Anolis sagrei: one gene and its partners. The protein of the gene in region 3 interacts with the protein of the main gene of each other region in a pairwise test. Links are inferred from orthologs where the notes say so. Each region holds a gene or a part of one and is shown on either strand. Other genes may lie near its edges. The genes, in order: NEDD9, FRS3 and RFX6.

Region 1 (7,914 bases), on a different chromosome or scaffold from region 3:
TGGCTGTTGTTTCTCAATCTGAGTTTTCAATCAGCTTCAGTTTAATCATTTTGACTTCTAGGGAGAGTTGAGACTTCATTTGCTGTAGGGTCCATGTTCAGCAAATCTCCGAGTTACAAACGTCCAACGTACATTCTACTCATAGTTAAAAATGGGCGTAGGAAAACAGGACGTCAGAGAAAACTGCCCCTAAAATGGGAAATTTGCTCCTGAAAGAGTTATCATGCGGGAAAAGATGTCTTCACTGAAGCTTTCTCACCAGTCCTTGTTTCCACAACAAGCTATTTTTTCAAAATCAAAGTATCCCAGGGTTGGAAAATGAGGCGAAATCTTCTGAACAGGGGCACAGGCAGCAAAACAAACCCCACAGGGGTATTAACCCTTACCGATGCGATCCAAAGCTTTGGAAAAAAAATAGTTTTGGCTGGAGTTACACTTTAAACATGTCCTTGTTTCAACTTACATACAAATCCAACTGAAGAACAAGCCTACAGAGCCAATCTTGTTCGAAACTTGGGGACTGCCTGTGTTGATCTTTGGAGTAGTTCTCAATCCGAGAAGCCACAACCCTGGGTCTGCAAGACCTTGAGGACAGGCTGACTTGGAGGTCTTTCAACTTTAACTCAAAGGCAGCAGAGAACAAGAAGAAAAATTCACAAAACATTCTTGCAATGTCTGAATCTCACCTTCCCTAAGCCATGTATTTAAGGATGTTTGAGTCAGTCTTCCGAGAAAAGATCTCAACTTGTATTGTCAATGGCTTTCATTGCCGGAATCACTAGGGTGTTGTGTGTTTTCCGGGCTGTAAGGCCATGTTCCAGAAGCATTCTCTCCTGACATTTCACCTGCATCTATGGTAGACATCCTCGGAGGTTGTGAGGTCTGTTGGAAACTACTTTACTTAGGCGATCCCTCATAGGATGATGGTGTTCTGTCGGTGGGTCCGTAGGTGACTGTGGGGCCCTGTTCTTGATCTGCATCTTCTCCCGCAGTGAGGGCATTGGTTTCCAGGTGGAAGGCAGTCCTGGTCAGGGTTGGCTTGACATGCCTTCCTCTTGGCACGTTTCTCTCTTTTGCCCTCCATTCGTGCCTCTTCAAACTCCACAGCACTGCTGGTCACAGCTGACCTCCAGCTGGAGCACTCAAGGGCCAGGGCTGGTGGAAACTAGGCAAGTTGGGTTTATGTATCTGTGGAATGACCAGGGTGGCCAATTGCTACATTCGCACTTGCCTCAATCAGACAAGAGTTCTTTCTCCCACCCTGGACATTCCACAGGTATATAAACCCAACTTGCCTAAGTTTCCAACAGACCTTACAACTTTTGAGGATGCCTGCCATATATGTGGGCAAAAAGTCGGGGGAGAATGCTTCTGGAACATGGCCAGACAACCCCGAAAATCACAGGTCCAGGGTGGGTGAAAGAACCAGGCAGCAACCTGCCAGGCTTTGAAGGTGCAAGGCCATTAAATGTAAATCAAGCTGGCCAATTACAACATTCACGCTTGCCTCAATCAAAAAAAAGTTCTTTCTCCCACCCTAGACATTCCACAGGTATATAAACCCAACTTGCCTAAGTTTCCAACAGACCTCAAAACCTCTGAGAATGCCTGCCATAGATGTGGGCAAAAAGTCAGGGAAGAATGCTTCTGGAACATGGCCAGACAGCTTGGTAAACTCACAGGTCCAGGGTGGAAGACAGAACCAGGCAGCAACCAGCCAGGCTTTGAAGCTGCAAGGCCATTATATGTGAATCAAGCTAGCTAATTGCAACATTCACACTTGCCTCAAGCAAACAAGAGTTCTTTCTCCCAACCTGGACATTCCACAGACATATAAACCCCACTTGCCTGGTTTCCAACAGACCTCACAACCTCTGAAGACGCCTGCCACAGATGTGGGTGAAACGTCAGGAGAGAATGCTTCTGGAGCATGGCCAGACTGCCCGGAATCATAGAATCATAGAATCAGAGTTGGAAGAGACCTCATGGGCCATCCAGTCCAACCCCCTGCCAAGAAGCAGGAACATTGCACTCAAATCACCCCTGACAGATGGCCATCCAGCCCCTGTTTAAAGAAAATACACAACAACCCAGATCTCAGCTTGCCCTCCCTCCCAACATACACACACACAAGGGGAAGAATTTCTGATAAAAGCTTTGAACAAAAAAAAATGTTGTTTGCTCAGAAATAAGGACTTGAGCAAAGCATTCCTAGACTGTCAAGTCCCCTTGAGCCCCACAGGGCTTCTTTCCTCGCAGGTAAGGAGTGGAGAAAGTGCCTGAGCTCCGATCACATCAGCTTGGGTCTTGAGAGCGACCTTAAATCCGGAGTAACCGAACGGAAGCGACTGGAGGAAGCGCGCCTGCTGTGCTGCAAAGGTCGCCCGCGCTAGAAACTTCACGCTCACTCCTCATCACACTAGACAAAAAAATCCACTTAAAATCCGGTTTCTACCTCCTGCAGAATACTGAGGTTTGTAGTTTAGTGAGGCTGTTAAAATCTCCTCCCTAAACTAGAAAGCCTAGAATGCTGTAGGAGGCAGAAAACGGATTTTAAGTGGATTTTTTCTCCAGTGTGATGAAGCAACATGTCGAATGAAGAAGGTTATTGATGGAAGCTGACTCTGGAGACAGCCCTTTCCCTTCCCTGTGAGGGCATCTGTAGAATCAAAACAGCTTGACACCACTTTCCCTGCCATGGCTCAAAGCTTTGGAATCAATCCTTTGGAGGGAGACCAGGCTCAACCTATCATCTCTCTCCTTCCTTCGCCTTTCCTTTTCCATTGAAGGAAGCCGGGCAATCCTTCCAAGCCCCAGCGCGCTTTTTTCCAACTTAGACAAAAAGCCAAAACTTTCCTTCCCGTTTTCTTACCTTGTACTTCATCCTCGCAAGCTTAATGAGGGGCGTCTTTGGGGGGAAATCCGGCCGCTTTACAGCGAGATCCCCTCGCCCACCATAGCCTTTGCCCGCTTAGAAGCGAAGCGCGTCCCCGTGTGTGGAGTGAGGCGCGTTCCCGCCGGAGGTCGAGCACCCTTCGGAGTCTCCGCCGCTCTCCGCGCATTGTTTGCCTGGCGGAGGGGGCAAAGCGATGGCTCATTTGCATACCTCTCCGCCATTGGCCAGCGCGCCAGACGTTCCTGAGCTGGGGGCGAATGCCTCCTGGTGACCCCGCCTCCCCTTTAGAACGGGTCATTCATTAGCGCTCTGCGTTGGCACGAAAGGGAGGGGGAGGGGGAGCAGGAGCAGGGGGAGGAGCCCAGGAAAGTTTTCCAAACCCAGAGCCCTTCCACACAGCCATATAACCCTGCATGGTTCACGATTGAACTATATCGGTGTTTCTCACCCTTAATACAGTTCCTCATGTTGTGGTGATCCCCAACTCTAAAATTATTTTGGTTGCTGTTTCACAACTGTAATTTTGCTACTGTTATGAATTATAATGTGAATATCCCATATGCAAGACGTATTTTCATTCACTGGACCAAGTTGGACACAAATACTCGACACGCCCAAATTTGAATACTGGTGGGGTTGGGGAGAGGGATTGATTTTGTCATTTGGGAGTTGTAATTGCTGGGATTTCTAGTTCACCTACAATCAAAGAGCATTCTGAACTTCACCAGCAATGGAATTGAACCAAACTTGGCACGCAGAACTCCCCTGACCAAGAGAAAATACTGGATGGGTTTGTTGGGCATTGACCTTGAGTTTTAGAGTTGTAGTTCACCTGCATCCAGAGACTCAAACAATGATAGATCTGGACCAAATTTGGCACCAAACCTCAATATACCCAAATGTGAACACTGGTGGAGTTTGGGGAAAACAGACCTTGTCACTTGGAAGTTGGAGTTGCTGGGATTTCTAGTTCACCTACAATCAAAGAGCATTCTCAACTTCACCAACGATGGAATTGAACCAAACTTGGCGCACAGAACTCCCCTGACCAACAGAAAATACTGGATGGGTTTGGTGGGCACTGACCTTGAGTTTTGGAGTTGTAGTTCACCTACAACCAGAGAGCACTGTGGACGCAAACAATGATGGAGCTGGACCAAATTTGGCATGAATACTCAATATGCCCAAATATGAACACTGATGGAGTTTGGGGGAAACAGACCTTGTCACTTGGGAGTTGTAGTTGCTGGGATGTATAGCTCACCTACAATCTAAGAGCATTCTGAACTCCACCAACGATGGAATTGAACCAAATGTGGCACACCGAACTCAACGGAAAATACTGGAAGGGTTTGATAGGCATTGACCTTGAGTTCTGGAGTTGTAGTTCAAAAAGATCCAAAAGAGGGAGAGAATAACAGGAAAATGGGGAAATGGTTTAACTCTTCAACCCTCCTCCCAATAAAATGGACAATCCTTTGTCTAGTGCCTCCTTTTGGCCTCCACTCAGAAAATGGAGCAGTCCTGTAATATAATAATATATAATCTAGGTGCAAAGATTACTACAGATGCAGACTGCAATCAGGAAATCAGGAGGTGCTTACTTCTTGGGAGAAGAGCAATGACCAATCTCGATAAAACATAGAAGAGTAGAGACATCACACTGGCAACGAAGATCCGCATAGTTAAAGCAATGGTATTCCCCATAGTCACGTATGGATGTGAGAGCTGGACCATAAGGAAGGCTGAGCGAAGAAAGATAGATGCTTTTGAACTGTGGTGCTGGAGGAAGGTTCTGAGAGTGCCTTGGACTGCCAGAAGATCCAATCAGTCCATACTTCAGGAAATAAAGCCTGACTGCTCATAGGAGGGAAGGATAGTAGAGGCCAAGATGAAGTACTTTGGCCACATTATGAGAAGAAAGGAAAACTTAGATAAGACCATGATGCTGGGGAAAATGGAAGGAAAAAGGAAGAGGGGCCGACCAAGGGCAAGATGGATGGATGGCATCCTTGAAGTGACTGGCTTGACTCTGAAGGAGCTAGGGGAGGTGACGGCCGACAGGGAGCTCTTGCGTGGACTGGTCCATGAGATCACAAAGAGTCAGAAATGACTGAATGAATGAACAACCGCAATGCTGTTTGGGTTTTTCCTATGTACAATAAGTAAATAAAATTCATGATAAGTAATTTACTTGTTGAAAGCTTTCAGGGCAGAAATCAGATGTTGTGCACCTTTGAAGATGCCAGCCACAGATACAGGCAAAACGTCAGGATTGAATGCTGCTGGGACATGGCCATACAACCAAAAAAACTCAGCAACCGACTTTTGCATCTTAAATTTTCCTGGTTAATAGTATAGTCTCTGCACAACACACCTTAATTATTTCCTTCTGTCCTTTCCTCCCTAACACTCATAATATAACATTAAAAGTCAAATGTTTCTTTTGGCATGGGGACAAGTTCTTTATTTACGAGTTGATTAGATGCTGGAGGGCAAGGTGGTTTCAAACAATATAGATGCCCCCTCCCCCTTGTTGGCAATTTTTAAAATGATGTGCCAGTTTAAGACAAGGTGCTTCAGTTCACTCAAAGGCAAGCAGAGATGAATCAAATACGACCTGCTATGTCCATACTTTATAAGTGGGCCTCTTTATTAGGTTGAAATGATTCCTGGCCAGACATTCACTATCTCAGCTGGGAGAAACTCCAACCAGACAAAATGATTTGGACTGAAAAAAATCTCCAGTCTGAGTCTCAAAGCATTCCGCTGCTGAGAGCTCAACGTTTTGTTTCTTTTATTCTGACCAAGTTGGACCTGCCCCAGTGTTTCTAAGTCACAGATGGACTCGGATGGCTTCCAACGGCCTAAAAACGAACAGTAGGCTGTATTCTGTTACCAGATTACTGTACAAGGATTCTGTTGCAGAGCAGATAGGCTTGGTGGAGGGAACCTGGCTTTTTTATTATTATATAATTTATTTGTAAAGATCATTTTTTGAAACTAATAAAAGTCAGCTTACAAAATACAAAAGAACAGCAACATACCCATTCAAATTATGCTTATTTTATTGTTTATCTGTTTATTTACCGTATTTATATACCACTTTTCTCAACCGGGGGGGATGGGGACGGGGGACTCAAAGCGGTTTACAAAAAATAAGGGCAAAATTCAATACCTTACATACATAAACCAAATCATAAATCACTAAATCATAAATTATAGCAGTTTTTACTTACTTACTTTCTTACTTACTTAGGTGATCCCTCGTAGTCCAAGGATGATGGTCCTCCAAGGTCAGTGTTCTGGCAGTGGGTCCGTAGGTGGTTGTGGAGCCACCTACATCTTCTCCCACAGTGTGACGGCACAAGTGGCGCCACCTGTGTGTAGAACTTTAATTTGCAAAGGTTTAAACTGTGTAACATGCCCCAACTTATCTGTTTTCTCTGTAAATGTATAGTGGGATTGATTGGTTATTTATAGCTGTCAATCAATGTTGTTTGCACCAGATGAATTGCTCCTCCTGCTCAATTGTTTTGACCCCACCTCTTCCTAGAGAGCAGGGCAGTGTTTCTTTCTTCATTCTACCATCAGACATCTCAGCAGATGGACATGAGAAAGACTTGGCTCTAAAGCCTTTAATTAAGTTACCTCTAATCACCAATTCTAAGGTTTTTACCCTTGGGACTCATACTTCATGCCCAGATCTCCCTGGACAGCGTTGAGGAGACCCAAGTGCCTTCAAACCGATCCTGTGGCACCAGAGGAAGGCTTCGTGTCTTCAAATATAGGCCATTTGGATTTGGAGCTGTGAATGTTCAGGCATTTGCAGCCATTGAGAAAGAGGGAACAGGAAAAGCTTCTCAGCTGCGAAGTCTCCTTGGACCCAAGACAACCAGAGACTGCAATGTATATTTCTTTTATCCCTTTGAAACTTCCAGCTTATTGCCTTAAAGGGATAACTCTTTGTGAACAATAAAACCTATTTTGAGTTAGATCCAGTGTTTTGGTCCTTGGGAGTTCCAGTTTCCTAAAGGAGGGCAAGAAGCAATCCCCTGGGGAGAGATATCACGTCCATGTATCTTTCACTAAGATCTATAGACCCCAGGCGTAACAGCATACACAGTGAGGACATTGGTTTCCAGGTGGAAGGCGGTCCCGGTCAGATTGGCTTGACACGCCTTCCTCTTGGCACATTTCTCTTTCGCCCTCCATTCGTGCCCCTTCAAATTCTACAGTATTCAAAATATACAAAATTCAATACCTTACATACATAAACCAAATCAAAAATCACTAAATCATAAATTATAGCAATTTTTAAAAATGCATTATAAGGAAAAGGAGTAAATCAGAGTGTGGGTTCGCTGCCCACCTGAAGTCATGAGTGTTGGGGTCTTCTTGGGAATTTCATATCTGGAACCTCTTCTCTCATTGAGTTTACAAAGATCACAGTTTGTGGGCAAATTAATAAGAGAGAAAGTAACCTTTTGGGTCTCTTGGTCTTCATCCATGTCTGCCCCAAGATTGGAAGTACAATTCGATTCCAATATCTATGGTGGATACACTCCCAGATTTCACATGGACACACAAAATCATGGATAATAGTGAACTTTATTGAAACATAAGACTTCTGGCCCAAGAATACCATAGAATCACATTGTAGGACCCAGAAAATGCCTGGAGAAGACATACAATATTTTGTCAAAAATTGATAAGTGGAATCCTATACTGGTGTTGCAGATATGGGGGTCATATTGTAATACGTTGTGAGCAAAATAGTCAGTTACATTCAAAGGAGTCAATCTGCTAAGAGTAAGAAGTGGAAATTTCCACTTCATGTCACCCTACTGGAAGGCTGGCAGCTGTCCCTTATTATAGGGATTGTCCCTTTCTTTGGAGTTTGGGAAGCTTGTAGGCAGAGGCGGCCCTAGGTAATTTTCAACGGTAAGCAAACAGTATTTTGGTGCCCCCCTCCAACCAATCATTGATATATATATATTTTCTGTTTGTCGTGGGAG
Region 2 (8,070 bases), on a different chromosome or scaffold from region 3:
CAGCAGTGATGATTAGTTGAATGATACCATCTGTCATTTGATAATAGTTGTAATTGTTCCCTTCATAAACATGTTTGTTGAATGAATTGGGTTATGGTAGTGATAGAAGCATATGTCTCAATGAGCCACTATATACCCTCTAAATAGAAATGCAATGCAGTTTGCAGGCACCAAGCAGGACTTATTAATTGTTAAGAAATTATGGATCCACTTAACCAACATGTTAGATCAATGTTGTCCTGTGAAAAGAAGCCATCTACTATGGGGAGCCTTTAGCTGAGAGTTCATATATAGAAGAGCAATAGGGAACTTTGTTTCCTATCAAGAATTGAATTCCTTTTGAGAATACAGGCAGTCACCAAGTTATGAACAAGATCGGTTCTGTAGGTTTGCTCTTAAGTTGAATTTGTATGTAAGTTGGAACAGTACATTTGAAAGTGGAAACCCAGCCAAAGCTTTGGATAGCATAGGGAAGGACTAACACCCCTGTGACATTTGTTTTACTGTCTGAGCCCCAGTTCAGAAGATTGCACCTCATTTTCTATCACTGTGACAATTGGATTTGGAAAAAATATGGCTTGTTGTGGAAATAAGGATTGGCGATAAAGCGTTCAGTGGAGATACCTTTCCCCCATGATAATTCTTCCAGGGGTGAATTTTCCTCCTAGCGGTAGATTTTTCTCACTTCCTGTTATCTCATCCCCATTTTTAACTATGGTCAGGTGTTTGTAACTTGGGGACTGCCTGTAGTATATTGGAGGGTGCTTAGTGATAGGTCCAGATCTGAAACTAGGGATGTGGAACACCCCCTATCCTTGTATCTTAATGACATGACTGAAAGCTATTCTTCACATGCTCAGTGGCACTTCAATATTGTATTAAGTGATCCCTCATTGTCCGAGTATGATTTTTTTGTGTGTGTCAGGAGCGACTTGAGAAACTGCAAGTCACTTCTGGAGTGAGAGAATTGGCTGTCTGCAAGGATGTTGCCGAGGGGATGCCTGGATGTTTTGATATTTTACCATCCTTGTGAGTGGCTTCTCTCATGTCCTTGCATGGGGAACTGGAGCTGACAGAGGGAGCTCATCCACGCTCTCTCCAGATTCGAACCCCCAACCTGTTGGTCTTCAGTCCTGCCAGCACAAGGGTTTAACCCATTGTGCCACCGGAGGGGGGGGGGGCTTCCCTCCAAGTATGATGACCTTCCAAGTGTAGTGTCCTGGTGGTTGATACGTAGGTAGCCGTGGAGCCTTAATATTGACCCACATATTATTCTACAGTGAGGGCAGGGGCAGCTCAAACCATTACACAAAGTAAGCATTTGCAGTATAGTTGATTTTGCCCAGGGGTGCTCTTGAGGCGCTCTTGGGGGAAAATAGACCTTGACATTGTAGTTACTGGGATGTATAGTTCACCGACAATCAAAGAGCATTCTGAACTCCACCAATGATGGAATTGAACCAAATATGACACACAGAACTCCCATGACGAACAGAAAATATATATATCAGTGATTGGTTGCGGGGGGGGGGGGGGGGGCGCCAAAATACTGTTTGCTTACCATTGAAAATTACCTTGGGCCGCCTCTGAGTGAGGGCATTGGTTTCCAGGTGGAAGGCGGTCCTGGTCAGGGTTGGCTTGACGTGCTTTACTCTTGGCACATTTCTCCCTTTTGTCCTCCATTTTTGCCTCTTCAATTCCACAGCACTGCTGGTCACAGCTGACCTCCAGTTAAGAGTGCTTCAATATTATTCCATAATTTGATCTCGCCTAAGGATTGAATTCTGACATTCAAATATAGGTTCTGAGGCTGAACCTTGGCTAAAATTAAGCCCTATATCCTGAAGATTATGCTCAATTTAATGTAAGTAAAAGGTAAAGGTTTTCCTCTGACATTAAGTCCAGTCGTGACAAACTCTGGGGGTTGGTGCTCATCTCAATTTCTAAGCTGAAGAGCCGGCATTATCTATATACATCTTCAAGGTCATGTGGCCAGCATGACTTCATGGAGCGCCATAATTATACATTACATTTTGTACAATGTAATGTACAAAAGGAGAAAAACCTCTGGGTCCATTTGACCGCCTTTCTTGCAGTAGTCAAATTACAAAGTGGTACAGGGTTAAGCATTCCTTATCAGAAATCGTGAAACCTGAAATGCTCCAAAATCCACACTTATCTGCATGAGTAGCTGAGATGGTGACACCTCTGCTTTGCAATGGTTCAGTGTACACAGCAAAATTATTTTAAAATATTGTGTATAAAATTACCTTCAGGCTATGTGCATGGAATATATGAAACCTGAATGAATTTTGGAATTAGACTTGTGCCCCAAACACAGATATATGTCCGAACACAGATAATCCAAAATCGGTGGGGGAGGGAGAGACAAGGAAATCCAAGCATTTTGGAGGAGGGATATTCAACCTGTAAGCCTTAACCTTTAAGCTTGAAGGCCCCATCTGTCCCCCTTGGGCTGTCATGCAGCGCCGCCTAGTGGCTTTAGAGCTTGACAACACTGACTAAGGTAATGTATTGTCGTAGGCTTTCATGGCCGGAATCACTGGGTTGTTGTAGGTTTTTTGGGTTATATGGCTATGTTCTAGAAGCATTCTCTCCTGACATTTCACCTGCATCTATGCCAGGCATCCTCAGAGGTTGTGAGGTACAGAAAGCAAACGTTTTTTACCATTTTGTATATAGAAGACCACTGTACATAATGGGATTTGAGCATCCACAGGTTCGGGTCTCCAATTCTGGAAACAAACCTCAGCAGATACTGGGGGCTCAGGACATGTACTCTCTGACCACAACCTGGTAATAGTAGGGGGGAGAAGAATGCACAGGGCATGACCCTTTTTAAATGTCTGAATGTATCTCCCCTTATGAACCATCTCCAAGATTGAGATCCTCTGGGGAGGCCCTGCTCTCTGTCCCATCTTCCTTGCAGGCGCGACTGGTGGGGACAAGAGACAGGGCCTTCTCAGTGGTGGCATCTCGGCTGTGGAACTCTCTCCCCAGCAAAATTGGATCAGTCCCCTCCCACTTAGCCTTCAGAAGGGAAGTAAAAACTTAGCTTTGGGATCAAGATTTCGGAGAACAGTACAGTGCAATAACAAATTTGGAATATGTTCAATGACTATGGAACAGCTTGAACTACTATTATGGAGGCGTGATTTTAGTATAGAATGAAATGTTTTTAAATACTTAATGTGGATGAATTTGAATTGAATTGAATTTTATTGGAATTGTATGTGTTTTAATGGTATTTATTTATTTATTTGTCGTATTATGGGTTAAACTGCTGAGCTGCTGAATTTGCTGATTGAAAGGTCGCCGGTTTGAATCCAGGGAGCGGGGTGAGCTCCTCCTGTTAGGCCCAGCTTCTGCCAACCTAGCAGTTCGAAAACAGGCAAATGTGAGTAGATCAATAGGTACTGCTTCATTGGGAAGGTAATGGCACTCCATGCAGTTATGCCAACCACATGACCTTGGAGGTATCTACGGACAATGCCGGCTCTTCGGTTTAGAAATTGAGATGAGCAGCAACCCCCAGAGTCGGGCACGACTTGACTTAATGCCAAGGGAAATCCTTTACCTTTTATCAGAAGCAAACCGAGGGTACAGTTATAATGTATTTTAAAAACACAAAGTTTAAAAACTTGGCATTGTGTTAAATGTCCTTGAGCAGTAGCTGGCCACTTGGGAGTGCCTTTAGTGTTGCTACAAGAAGGTCCTCCAGTGTGCATGTGGCAGAGTTCAGAATGCATTGCAATAGATGGTCTATGGTTTGCTTTTCTCCACACTCACATGTCCTTGACTCCACATTGTGGCTCCATTTTTTAAGGTTGGCTCTGCATCTTGTGCTGCTAGAGCCCAGTTCATTTAGTGCCTTCCAAGTTGCCCAGTTTTCTGTGTGCCGGTGTGTGTGTGTGTGTCTCATTCGGTATCAGCCATGGCTTGAGGCAGGGTCATAAGCAGAGGGGGGTTTAAAAATTCAACCCCACTCTGAAATGTGTCAGAAATCTGGTTTCCTCATAAAATGGTTAACCAGTTAAAATTCACGAGTAAACCAAATTTGGGGGGGGGGGGTAGGGAGTATGGGGTTGAACCTTTTTAGGGGATTTGAACCCTTAAACCCCTCCCGGCTACAGCAATCAATTGATGTTCCAGGTTTAGCCTGCCAATTTTGGACTCTTGCTTGCTGAGGCAATTGAGTAATTGCCTATATGCAATCCACCTTGAGTCCCTTTTGGTGGTAGAGAAAGCCTGGGTATAAATAGAGCCAATAAATAAATAAATAAATAAATAAATAAATAAAAGAATGGCAGTAAGCCCACTATACATGGCCCAGCAGCATTGCAGTAGGTGGTCTGTGGGTTGCCCTTCTCCACACTGGCATGTCCTGGACTCCACTTTGTAGCCTCATTTCTTAAGGTCGGCTCTGCATCTCGTGGTGCCAGAGCGCGTCTTCCAAGTTACTCAGTCTTCTGTGTGCCTGGGGAAGAGGTGGGGGTTGAGATGGGGGGAGGAGGGGGTCTCTCATTCGGTATCAGCCATGGCTTGAGGCAGGATCGTAGCTAGAGGATGTAAAAAAAAAAAAATCAACCCCACCCTGAAATAAATTGGTTAAAATTCATGACAGGTTTCAGGGTGGAGGTGAGGTTGAACCCTTTTTGGGGGGGTTGAATCCTTAAATCTCCCCCTAGGACCCCCTCCCCTCTGACTACAGCCCTGGATTGAGGTTCCTAGTTTTAGCCTGCCACTTTTGGACTCTTGCTTGCTGAGGCAATGGAATAATTGCCTATATGCAAGCTGCCTTGAGTCCCTTTTGGTGGTAGAGAAAGCCGGGGTATAAATAGAGCAAATAAAATAAATAAAAGAATGGCAGTAAGCCCACTATATATGACACAGCATCATGCCAGATAGTGCCTTTGCTTCCAGGCGTGATCTGCGTGGCGAGGATTTGGTTTCCTGCCACGCAAAGGCAGGAAAGAAAGGGTGAAATGCGCGGAAAGTAAGCCCCCGTCTCCTGGCAATAGGGAAATCTTGATTTGGTGGTGGATTTGGTGGTGGAAGCGGGGCTGATGCAGGGAGCTGTCCTCCTTGCCCGGGTCCTCCTGCCGGCGAGCGACGCTGTGGGCTGCCTCCTTGCTCCCGGGCCGGACTCCGGCAGAAGGAGACGGAGGAGGAGAAGGAGGAGAAGGGACGGCGGGGAGGGAGTCAGCGCCATCCTCCCGCGCCTGCGGACCTCTTTGCCCTGGGACAGGTAGGCGACTCTCTCCCCAAGCCCAGCTCTCAAGGTCCCCCCACAATCCCCTCTTCCTCGCCCCAGGGACCTCGGTTTATCCAGTGCGCACTGGTGCCCCCCCCCCCCAAATCACATCCTCCTATTTCTCCGGCCTCCTGCCTTTCCAGACATCCCCCCCAAACAAAAACAACCCCCAACGCCTCCTCTGCATCCCAGTCCTCCCATTGCTCCAAATGACCCCGTACACAACCCAAAAGCCTCCTCTGCATTCCCTTCTTCCCATTGCGCCCCACCAAAAAATCCCCATCTCCCTTGAGTGCCACTCAACCCACCGCAGCTCCTTTCTCTCCTTCAGAAAGGAAAAGAAGGGAACGAAGAACCTTCATCACACACACAGAGAGAGATAGATCAGCACCTAGAACACACACACACACACACAGATAGGTTGATAGATAGATATGGATGTATGTTTGTACAGATGTGTGTGTATAATTTTTGACCAGCTTTCCTGAAGCTCATTCCCATCTTCAGTCCAGAGTAATAGGATAGCCTCAGGTTATTCCATCTATTTATACCCAGTCCTGAACCTCTCCTCCAGTTAACCTTCCCTCCTAATAAAGCAGGTATGGACAAACTTGCGCCTTCCCTCCAGGTGTTTTGGACTCCAACTCCCACCATTCCTAACAGCTTCAGGCCCCTTCTGTTTCCTCCTCAACCACTTGGGGTGCCTCTGGTGTTGCTCTAAGAAGGTCCTCCATTGTGCATGTGGCAGGACTCAGACTGCATTGTAATAGGTAGTCTGTGGTTTGCTCTTCTCCTCACTCGCATGTCGTGGACTCCACTTTGTGGCCCCATTTCTTAAGGTTGGCTCTGCATCTTGTGGTGCCAGAGTGCAGTCTGTTCAGCACCTTCCAAGTTGCCCAGGCTTCTGTGTGCGGGGTTGGGGGGTGGGGGAGGTCTCTCATTTGGTATCAGCCATGGCTTGAGGCAGGGCCGTAAGCAGAGGGGGGTTTAAAAATGCAACCATGCTTTGAAATGTGTCAAAAACCTGGTTTTCTCATAAATCGGTTAAAATTCATGAGTAAACCAGGGTTCAGGGGGTGGGATTGAACCCTTTCTGTGGAGTTTGAACTCTTAATCCCCCCCCATAACCCTCCCCCCCAGCTACAGCCCTGGATTGATGTTCCCGGTTTTAGCCTGCCACTTTTGGACTCATGCTTACTGAGGCAATTGAATAATTGCCTATATGCAAGCTGCCTTGAGTCCCTTTTGAGGTAGAGAAAGCCAGGGAATAAATAAATAAATAAATAAATAAATAAATAAATAAAAGAATGGTGGTAAGCCCAACATACATGACCCACCATACGCTTAAGCGGCTGGGGGGGGGGGGGGGAGGAAAGGGCCTGAGGCTGTTAGGAATAGTGGAAGTTGGAGTCCAAAGCACCTAGAGGGCCCAACTTTGCCAATGTCTGTGATAGACCCTCTTTTCACTTTTATAAGGCATCACCCCCTCTTCTTCCAAATTCTCCTTTAGCATTCATTTATTCTGCCCTTTAGCGCACGCGCGTATATATATATATATATATATATATATATATATTCCCTGAGCTGTTCTGGACCTGGTAGGAAAGCCTATTTATACCCAGCCTATTTATACCCAGCAAGATGCCAACCCTGACCGTGGCCCCCAGTTAACCTCCTCTCCCATTAGACATCCCCCTTCTCGGCCCTTCGGACTGTGTTTCTCAACCTTCCTAATACCGCAACCGCTTAATACAGTTCCTCATGTCGTGGTGACCCCCAACAATAACATTATTTTCGTTGCTACTTCATAACTGTAATTTTGCTACTATTCTGAATCGTCATGTCAGTATTGGATATGCAGGATGTGTCTTCATTCACTGGACCAAATTTAGCACAAATATACAATACGTCCAAATTTGAATACTGTTGGGTTGGGGGAGGAGGATTGTTTTGTCATTTGGGAATTGTAGTTGCTGGGATTGATAGTTCACCTACCATCAAAGAGCATTCTGAACCCTGCCAACGATGGAATTGAACCAATCTTGGCATACAGAACTCCCATGACCAACAGAAAATACTGGAAGGGTTTGTTGGACATTGACGTTGAGTTTTGGAGTTGTAGTTCACCTGCATCCAGAGAGCAACGTGGACTCAAACAATGATGGATCTGGACCAAACATGTCATGAATACTCAATATGCCCATATGTGAACACTGGTGGAATTTGGGGAAAATGGACTTTGGCATTTGGGAGTTGTAGTTGCTGGGATTTATAGTTCACCTACAATCAAAGAGCATTCTGAACCTCACCAACAATAGAATTGAGCCAAACTTCTTACACAGAACCTCATGACCCACAGAAAAATCTATGTTTTCTGATGGTCTTTGGTGACCCCTCTGATACTCCCCTGGGGTCCCGACCTCCAGGTTGAGAAACACTGACTTAGGACAACATCCCCTCTCTATTCACTCTCCAGGATTCATTCTACCCCTCTATTCTGATTATTTGGCTATTGATTCTGGGAATTTGTCCCTCACCTTTCCCCAGCTCCAGGGGATATGTGTTCTCATGCATTCTCACCTGAAGCCTCACAGGGATTGCCTCTCTAGGTCATCATCTTCATTGCTTTGTTACAGAGATTTTAATGGCATCTCTCCTGTTTTCACCTGTATGTCAGTGTACTAAGTACACACACACTCTCAGCCAATGCCAAATTTCGTGTAAGTACCGATGAATCACTACCTCACCTATTCTCTGGGCCATAATTTTCCATGCCCCTCTTTCCATTTACTGGA
Region 3 (7,012 bases):
TTGTACAACTTGCAGAAGAAGAAAGATTGAAGTAGAATACATTGAAACACTATAACACTAAGTTAAATAATTGTGAGGTGTTACTTCCAACTAGTATATTAACTCTGTCTTCTCTTTTTAAAATTAATAATTCTAAATTTGAGTTTGAATATGTTATTATTTTTACATATAATCCAATTCTGCATATTTTTCCATCTCAAAGGATCACTGAGCTCAGTTCTTTTTGAAATGTATGCATGCAAATAATTAAAGTTTTAAATAACATAAATCCAATGCAACTGCATTTAGTAAAACAGTTACAGGATTATTTTCTCCTGATTAGTTTTCCTTAATGTTCAGTTATAAAATGATTAGAAAGCACATAAATAACTCTCATCAATTCAATGGGTATTAGGGTTGTGCAATATGGGTAAACCTTGACCCATTTTGTGTGACAACTTCTGGTAGGGATCCAGATCTGGTTTTCGGGGGCACCTCCCAAAATTTGGAGGGCAGATATCTGTTTTCACTCTGGGGTGCTGAAAGATCCGTTTTCTATCAGCCCATTATGGGGGAAAGGGGGCTTCCCAGGCTCCGTTTCCCATCACTTTAAGCATTTAAACTGTTAGTGTTTCTACTCTACAGGAGAGACGCTCAGCTGCAGGCAGGCTCACATGCTTTATGGGCCTGAATGCCATACACACACATACTTTTTCCAAGGCAAGGAGACAAGTTCTGTTTCAGAGGAGGTGCTTGGCTGCAGGCAGACGTGCACGCTTTCTGGGCCTGCACACCACATACACACTCTTTCCAAGGCAAGGAGGCTGCTTACAAAAAAGTAAAGAGCCAGGATCAGTTCCCACTTGCTTTCGTGTTGAGTTCATTTTCATACCGGGAGAGGGCTTCCTGTTACGTGCACCTTAAAGTAAAAAGTAACAAAAGAATGGATGAAACAAAGGAAAATGGTTCAGTGCACAAACCTAACGGGCATATTCCAGTTAGGCTTAGCAATAAAATTGAGTCCAGTGTTTTCAAATTCATGGTTTGCTCACCCTATACTACAGCTTCTTTGCTGTTTGGCTATTTTTATGCATTCACTTTCGAACAAATAGAAGAAGAAAAACCATGATAATCTGTACAGCCTTCGTATTTGCTATAAACTTAGCATAGTCTAAGTGTAGCATAGTGCTGTTGGTTCAATTAGAATCACACAACTCCCAGGTGGTAACCAAGACTTTAGTTTTTGGCATTTTCCTGGCAGAATTCAACTGAACCAATCCCCCAAAGACCTGGCTATACCAACTCCACTGTAATCTCTACCCCATTATTTGCTTCAGCTCCCCACTGCTATCTCTCAGAAAATATGTAAAAGATTTTGCCATGCTAGCTGCCATTGCCCAATACAGTTTCCTCTATGGAAGTCCACAAAGGTTTGTATGGATAAAACAGAGCTTTCTGCCTAATGATTATTACAGTCATTTCTATAGCATATAGTTTATAGTTTTAAAAAATGCTATAACAGATTACCATTTTAAACATGAAACCTCCATTTTGAAATAGTATTTTCTTCTAGAAACTTTTTCATTCTTGAAATTTTTGAAAGGTAACATTTGCAGAAAATGTGGGAGAAAATGTGGGCGCACCCTTTGGCAGAGAAGGCTAAAGTTCTTGGAAAACTATAAATTCCATTCCATAGTACTAATACCATGTATTAGTGGAATAAAATTTATAGTTTTCCAAGGTCTTTAGCTTTCTCTGCCAAAGAGTGCTGGTGCTTCACCACACTGCAATTCCCAAGATTCCATAGAACTGATCCAAGGCACTTAAAGTTGAGTCAAATTGCATTAATTCACCCCCCCCCCCCCCCCCAAAAGAAATCCATGCTCTGCCTGTGAAGTAATAGAAATGTATTGGCTAGCCAGCATTTTGATTTATAAATTAAATGCAAATGTTAGTGCTTGTAAATTCCTTGCAATCTTCTGGATACCTGGTTAGTGAAGTGTGGGGAAATCTTCCTTTTTGCTCATCTCGTTCTCCCCTAGTTGCCCATCACCTTTACCATTATTTCATCCACATCACATTCTCTTCCTGGATGCATATGTAGTATGTAGTAAGCATACAATATAGGAGCCCCCGGTGGCACAATCGGTTAAAGTGTTGTGCCAGGTGGACTGCAGACCAAAAGGTCGGTGGTTCGAATCCAGGGAGTGGGGTAAGCTTCTGTCTGTGAGCTCCAGCTTCCCATGTGAGGACATGAGAGAAGCCTCCCATGGGATGACACCACATCTAGGCATTCCTTGCAGATGGCCAAATCTCTCACACTAGAAGTAACTTGCAGTTTTGAAGTCACTCCTGGCACACACAAAAAATGTGGTGAGCTTCAGCCAACATGGTGAAGCATTCTTTCCTTTAGTGCTACAGCAGCAGGACAAGCTCTGCTTGACAAGCAATGGAAGCTGGGAAAATGCAAATTAAAATCACTACCTAAAAGAACTCTTATTTAGGAACCTCTATGTCCTCCAGTGCAATGGTTCCCAACCTTTGGTCCTCCAGGTGTTTTGGACTTCAGCTCCCATAATTCTTAACAGCTCATAAGCTGGCTGGGATTTCTCAGAGTTGAAGTCCCAAACACCTGAAGGGACCAAAAGTTGGAGACCACTACTCCAGTGCAATTTCAGGATCATCTTCCGGTGGGAATTGAACTTAGAGTTGCACTGGAGTCCCATAATATTCCTAGAAAAGCCATAGTAATAAAATGTGAATAATCTTATATATATATAAAAGTTAAACTCACAGATGAGTGAAGTACGCCATCTGTTTTGCTCTTGTCTTCCAGAGTTCAGAAACACAACATTTTCAGCTGCAGTGTCTATTTGTGGAGGATGGAATACACAACACAGCTCAAGAACTTGTACTTCCTCATTTTAAAAAAGGGTTGGTCATAATCAATCCAGTGTCTTAGCTACAATTATATCCGAAGAGGGTTAACTTCATGGTAATCTATGCCCCGAAGACCTCCCATTTGGGCTATAGCAATGTACCTTCTGGGGGGCTACCCTTAAAGATGGTTGAACACCTATCCTTTGTGTAAAATATGATAAGCTTAACATGTTTAAAGTATTTAAAATCATAAAGGAGAAGATAAAGTTATTATATTAGTCTATTTGGCATACATTTTGCATCAGATGTTATTTCTTTTGTCAGTTAATAGGTAATTGGATGGCCATGAGTTCAAGCAATGACAGTTAAATATTAATAAAATTTCAATTGTATTTGCAACAAAAAGGGAAGTGTCCTTATTTGTTTTGTGCATTTTCTAATTTTGCTGCATGACTACTCCAAATATTCCTCCAGATCTCCCACCAAAGATCAGTAAAACATTATTCTGCTTCAGAAGCTGCAAAGGAAGAAGTATGTTGTTAAACTATGCCATCTACTGGTGATTTTTTATCCACAAAATAAATCATTGTATTGATGTATTGTCGAAGGCTTTCATGGCCAGAATCACTGGGTTGTTGTAGGTTTTTTTCGGGCTGTATGGCCATGGTCTAGAGGCATTCTCTCCTGTCGTTTCGCCTGCATCTATGGCAAGCATCCTCAGAGGTAGTGAGGTCTGTTGGAACTAGGGAAAAGGGTTTATATATCTGTGGAGTGACCAGGGTGAGACAAAGGACTCTTGTCTGCTGGAGCTAGGTGTGAATGTTTCAACTGACCACCTTGATTAGCATACAATGGGCTGACTGTGCCTGGGGCAAACTTTTGTTGAGAGGTAATTAGATGTCCCTGCCTGCTTCTTCTCTGTTGTTGTGCTGTTGCAATTTTAGAGTTTTTTAATACTTGTAGTCAGATTTTGTTCATTTTCATGGTTTCCTCCTTTCTGTTGAAATTGTCCACATGCTTGTGGATTTCAATGGCTTCTCTGTGTAGCCTGACATGGTGGTTGTGAAAGTGGTCCAGCATTTCTGTGTCCAGGTTGGTTCCACCTCAACTGCAATACTGTGTCTAATTCTGGGCACCACAGTTCAAAAAGATATTGACAAGCTAGAAGGTGTTCAGAGGAGGGTGACTAAAATGATCAAATGTCTGGAGACCGTTCCCTATGAGGAGCATCTTAAGGAGCTGGATATGTTTAGTCTGCAGAAGAGAAGGTTGAGAGGAGACATGATAGCCATGTATAAATATGTGAAAGGGTGTCATAAGGAAGAGGGAATAGACCTCTTCCTTATGCTGCCCTGGAAACCGGAACTCAGAGCAATGGGTTCAAATTACAGAAATGAGATTCTACCTGAACATTAGGAAGAACTTCCTCACCGTACGAACTGTTCAACAGTGGAACTCTCTGCCTCAGAGTGTGGTGGAACCTCCTTCCTTGGAAAATTTTAAAAAGAGGCTGGATGGCCATCTGTCAGAGATACTTTGCGCTTTTCCTGCATGGCAGCAGGTTGGACTAGATGGCTGATGTGGTCTCCTCCAATTCTCTTATTCTATGATTCTAAGCCAATGGTCATTCCATGATTGAGAACTGGGTTGGAGAGAAAAATATCACAGCATAGAAAGCTGTCATGTATTGAATCCTCCCATTGGCCCAACTAGCCCAGATTTATTACATGGATCTTTCACAGTTTAAGAATGCAAAGGGATCTTGCAGCACCTCTCATACTATGCTCAGACAGCAAAGAGGAAGAGCAGATGGAAGTGCCAGTGAAGCCCGTGGATGTTCCCGTGGCTGAAACTGGAGCCAGAAGCAGCTAGAAAGTTCAAGATAAAATGCCTACATTGATAGAGAGAGACCAGCAAAGAGAGGAGTTCAGGAAGTTGTGCCACTTTATGAAAAATTCTGCTAAATCAAGGAGCAGCTGAGAAGAGGAACCAGAGCTATAAATCAAGTAGTTGCATGATGCTTCTCTGGTGTGGAAAACTACTCTGTTTTGACCTGGTTTCCAACACTTACTTGTTCCTTTGTGGATTTGACTTCAGACCTGTTGTCATTATTCTTCTGGCTCAACCCTAAACAGACTTATTGATTTGGTTTCCTTGGCCTCAGACTCTTTAGACCTCAGCTAATGTCTCACTTATCTTCTGGTAGCTTGTTCTGTTTCAACCAGCCACTTGCACCACTGTTGTGATTACAACAGCACCTTAGAGTCTAAGGCCCTTTTCACACTGCCCCTGTATCTCAGCATCTGATCCTAGATTATCTGGCCATGGAGACTCATATAATCGAGTTTAAACCTGGGATCAGATCCTGGGTACAGGGGCAGTGTGGAAGGGGCCTATGAGAACAAAATTAGGTGCATAAACTTTTGTACACTCAGTCTACTTCCTCAGTTGCAACCTTTGTACACTTAACCTACAAAAGCATGTGCTACTAGTATCAACTTCATTCTCTTTGCTTGTCTCTAAGATATTACAAGATCCCTTTGCATACTATTCCAGACAAACATAGCAATGCCTTTGAATTCTACACAATGAACTATTTAAGGAAGAAATCTTATTATTTATTAATTAAAAATATTTCTGTGCACAAGAACAAGGAAAAGTACTGTAATAATCAATTCAGAAAAATAAATGATGACAACAAAAAAAGAAAGAACAAGAGACCTCTTCCACGAGATCCAAGAAATCAAAGGGAGTGTTACACTCCAGAGCAGGATCCCCTGTGACTTCAAACACCACAGTTTAGTTCAAATAGCAAGCAGTTTATTGTATGTAATAAAAGCCAAAGCAATAAAAAGTAGTCCACAGCAAAAGGTAAATCCAATTGATTAAGAAGAAAAAGGAGCAATTAGTCCAAAGAGAGATAGTCCAAAGAAGTCCATGAAACTAGATGCTTGATTTCAAAGGCAAATAACAGCAAAGGCACTTCAAACAGGAATCAAACAAAGACAAGGGTCCAGGAATTTGGCATGAAGCAAGTTGCTTCATCTGAACATTGCTTCATCTGAAGCTAGATTCTGTACTTGGCACTTATGTTCCTGCCCTATTTCACAAACAGCTAAGAATGGATTTTTCCTTAACTTTAGTTTCACTTCTAACTTCTGATGTAATCTGGCTGAGTGCCATAATTGCTGGTTTGTTTGTCTTTGCTGGCTAAAAACACTTATGTTCAAGCCTTCATTAAAATCTGCACCTGGAGATAACTGACCAGTGGACTGCGGCGCAGAGCCTTTCTCAGGCTCAAGACCTTGAGAATCCCCTTATAGCAATAAAGCCTTCTCTAAGCCATCATTTGAACTGCATTCAGACCCCCCCCCCCCCCAATGTCTAAAACCAGGTCCAGGAAACGGACCGTCATCCCCATTCCCTTCAGGAACATCTTCATGGACAGCATCTCCATTTCCATCAGAAGAATCAACTTGAACATGAACAACATTGTCATTCCCATCATCCAAAACAACCTGATCATTAGACACAATCACAGGCTGACATACAACACGGAAATTGAAAACAAGAGTGGGAATGCTCTACAACCAGCAGGGGAAGACATTACATGACTAAGTAGAAATAAAAGCCAATGAAAACCATACATTGAAAAAATATATAAAGGACGTGAAAGGATGGCAGATTCATTCAAGGAAGAACAATCTGATGATGAGCCAATAACTTTATAAATTAAAATGGAAACTGCACTCTGAGCACTAGAGAGAAATAAATCACCAGGAACTGATAGCACACCAATATCCAGCTAAAGGACAACATTTACTCTAGTTCTAAATATGGGAAACAAAACAATAGCTTACAGAAACACTGGATATACATTCCACTTCCCAAGAAAGGAAATACCAGGGGTGTAGTAACCACAGAACCATCAATTAATTGTTTATGCAAAAAAAGTAGTGCTAAAGTTCTACAACAAAAACCCTTACCCCATATGTGGTGAAAAATGGATTCAGCAAAGGAAAAAGCCCTACCATATTTTATATCCAGAATATTCAAATAATTTAATTCTGGGTTGTTCTAGGTTTTTCGGGCTATATGTCCATGTTCTAGAGGCATTCTCTCCTGTTTTGCCTCCATCTATGGCAAGCATCCT

Evidence for each region.
Region 1: the proteins of RFX6 (region 3) and NEDD9 interact in binary tests that used the Homo sapiens proteins (3 or more experiments, as listed by UniProt). The two-hybrid records come from large-scale screens. The link is inferred for Anolis sagrei from reciprocal best matches to the Homo sapiens genes RFX6 and NEDD9.
Region 2: the proteins of RFX6 (region 3) and FRS3 interact in binary tests that used the Homo sapiens proteins (3 or more experiments, as listed by UniProt). The two-hybrid records come from large-scale screens. The link is inferred for Anolis sagrei from reciprocal best matches to the Homo sapiens genes RFX6 and FRS3.

Annotation. Positions count from the first base shown.
Region 1 is NC_090024.1:83,014,715-83,022,628, reverse strand, and holds the start of NEDD9 (enhancer of filamentation 1), read right to left. Parts: upstream 3,070-7,914; 5' UTR 2,885-3,069; coding exon of another isoform or gene 2,873-2,884; intron 1-2,872. UniProt on the Homo sapiens protein: Scaffolding protein which plays a central coordinating role for tyrosine-kinase-based signaling related to cell adhesion. As a focal adhesion protein, plays a role in embryonic fibroblast migration.
Region 2 is NC_090024.1:190,892,459-190,900,528, reverse strand, and holds the start of FRS3 (fibroblast growth factor receptor substrate 3), read left to right. Parts: upstream 1-5,069; 5' UTR 5,070-5,269; intron 5,270-8,070. UniProt on the Homo sapiens protein: Adapter protein that links FGF and NGF receptors to downstream signaling pathways. Involved in the activation of MAP kinases. Down-regulates ERK2 signaling by interfering with the phosphorylation and nuclear translocation of ERK2.
Region 3 is NC_090021.1:89,811,046-89,818,057, reverse strand, and holds the start of RFX6 (DNA-binding protein RFX6), read left to right. Parts: upstream 1-3,912; coding exon 3,913-3,951; intron 3,952-7,012. UniProt on the Homo sapiens protein: Transcription factor required to direct islet cell differentiation during endocrine pancreas development. Specifically required for the differentiation of 4 of the 5 islet cell types and for the production of insulin.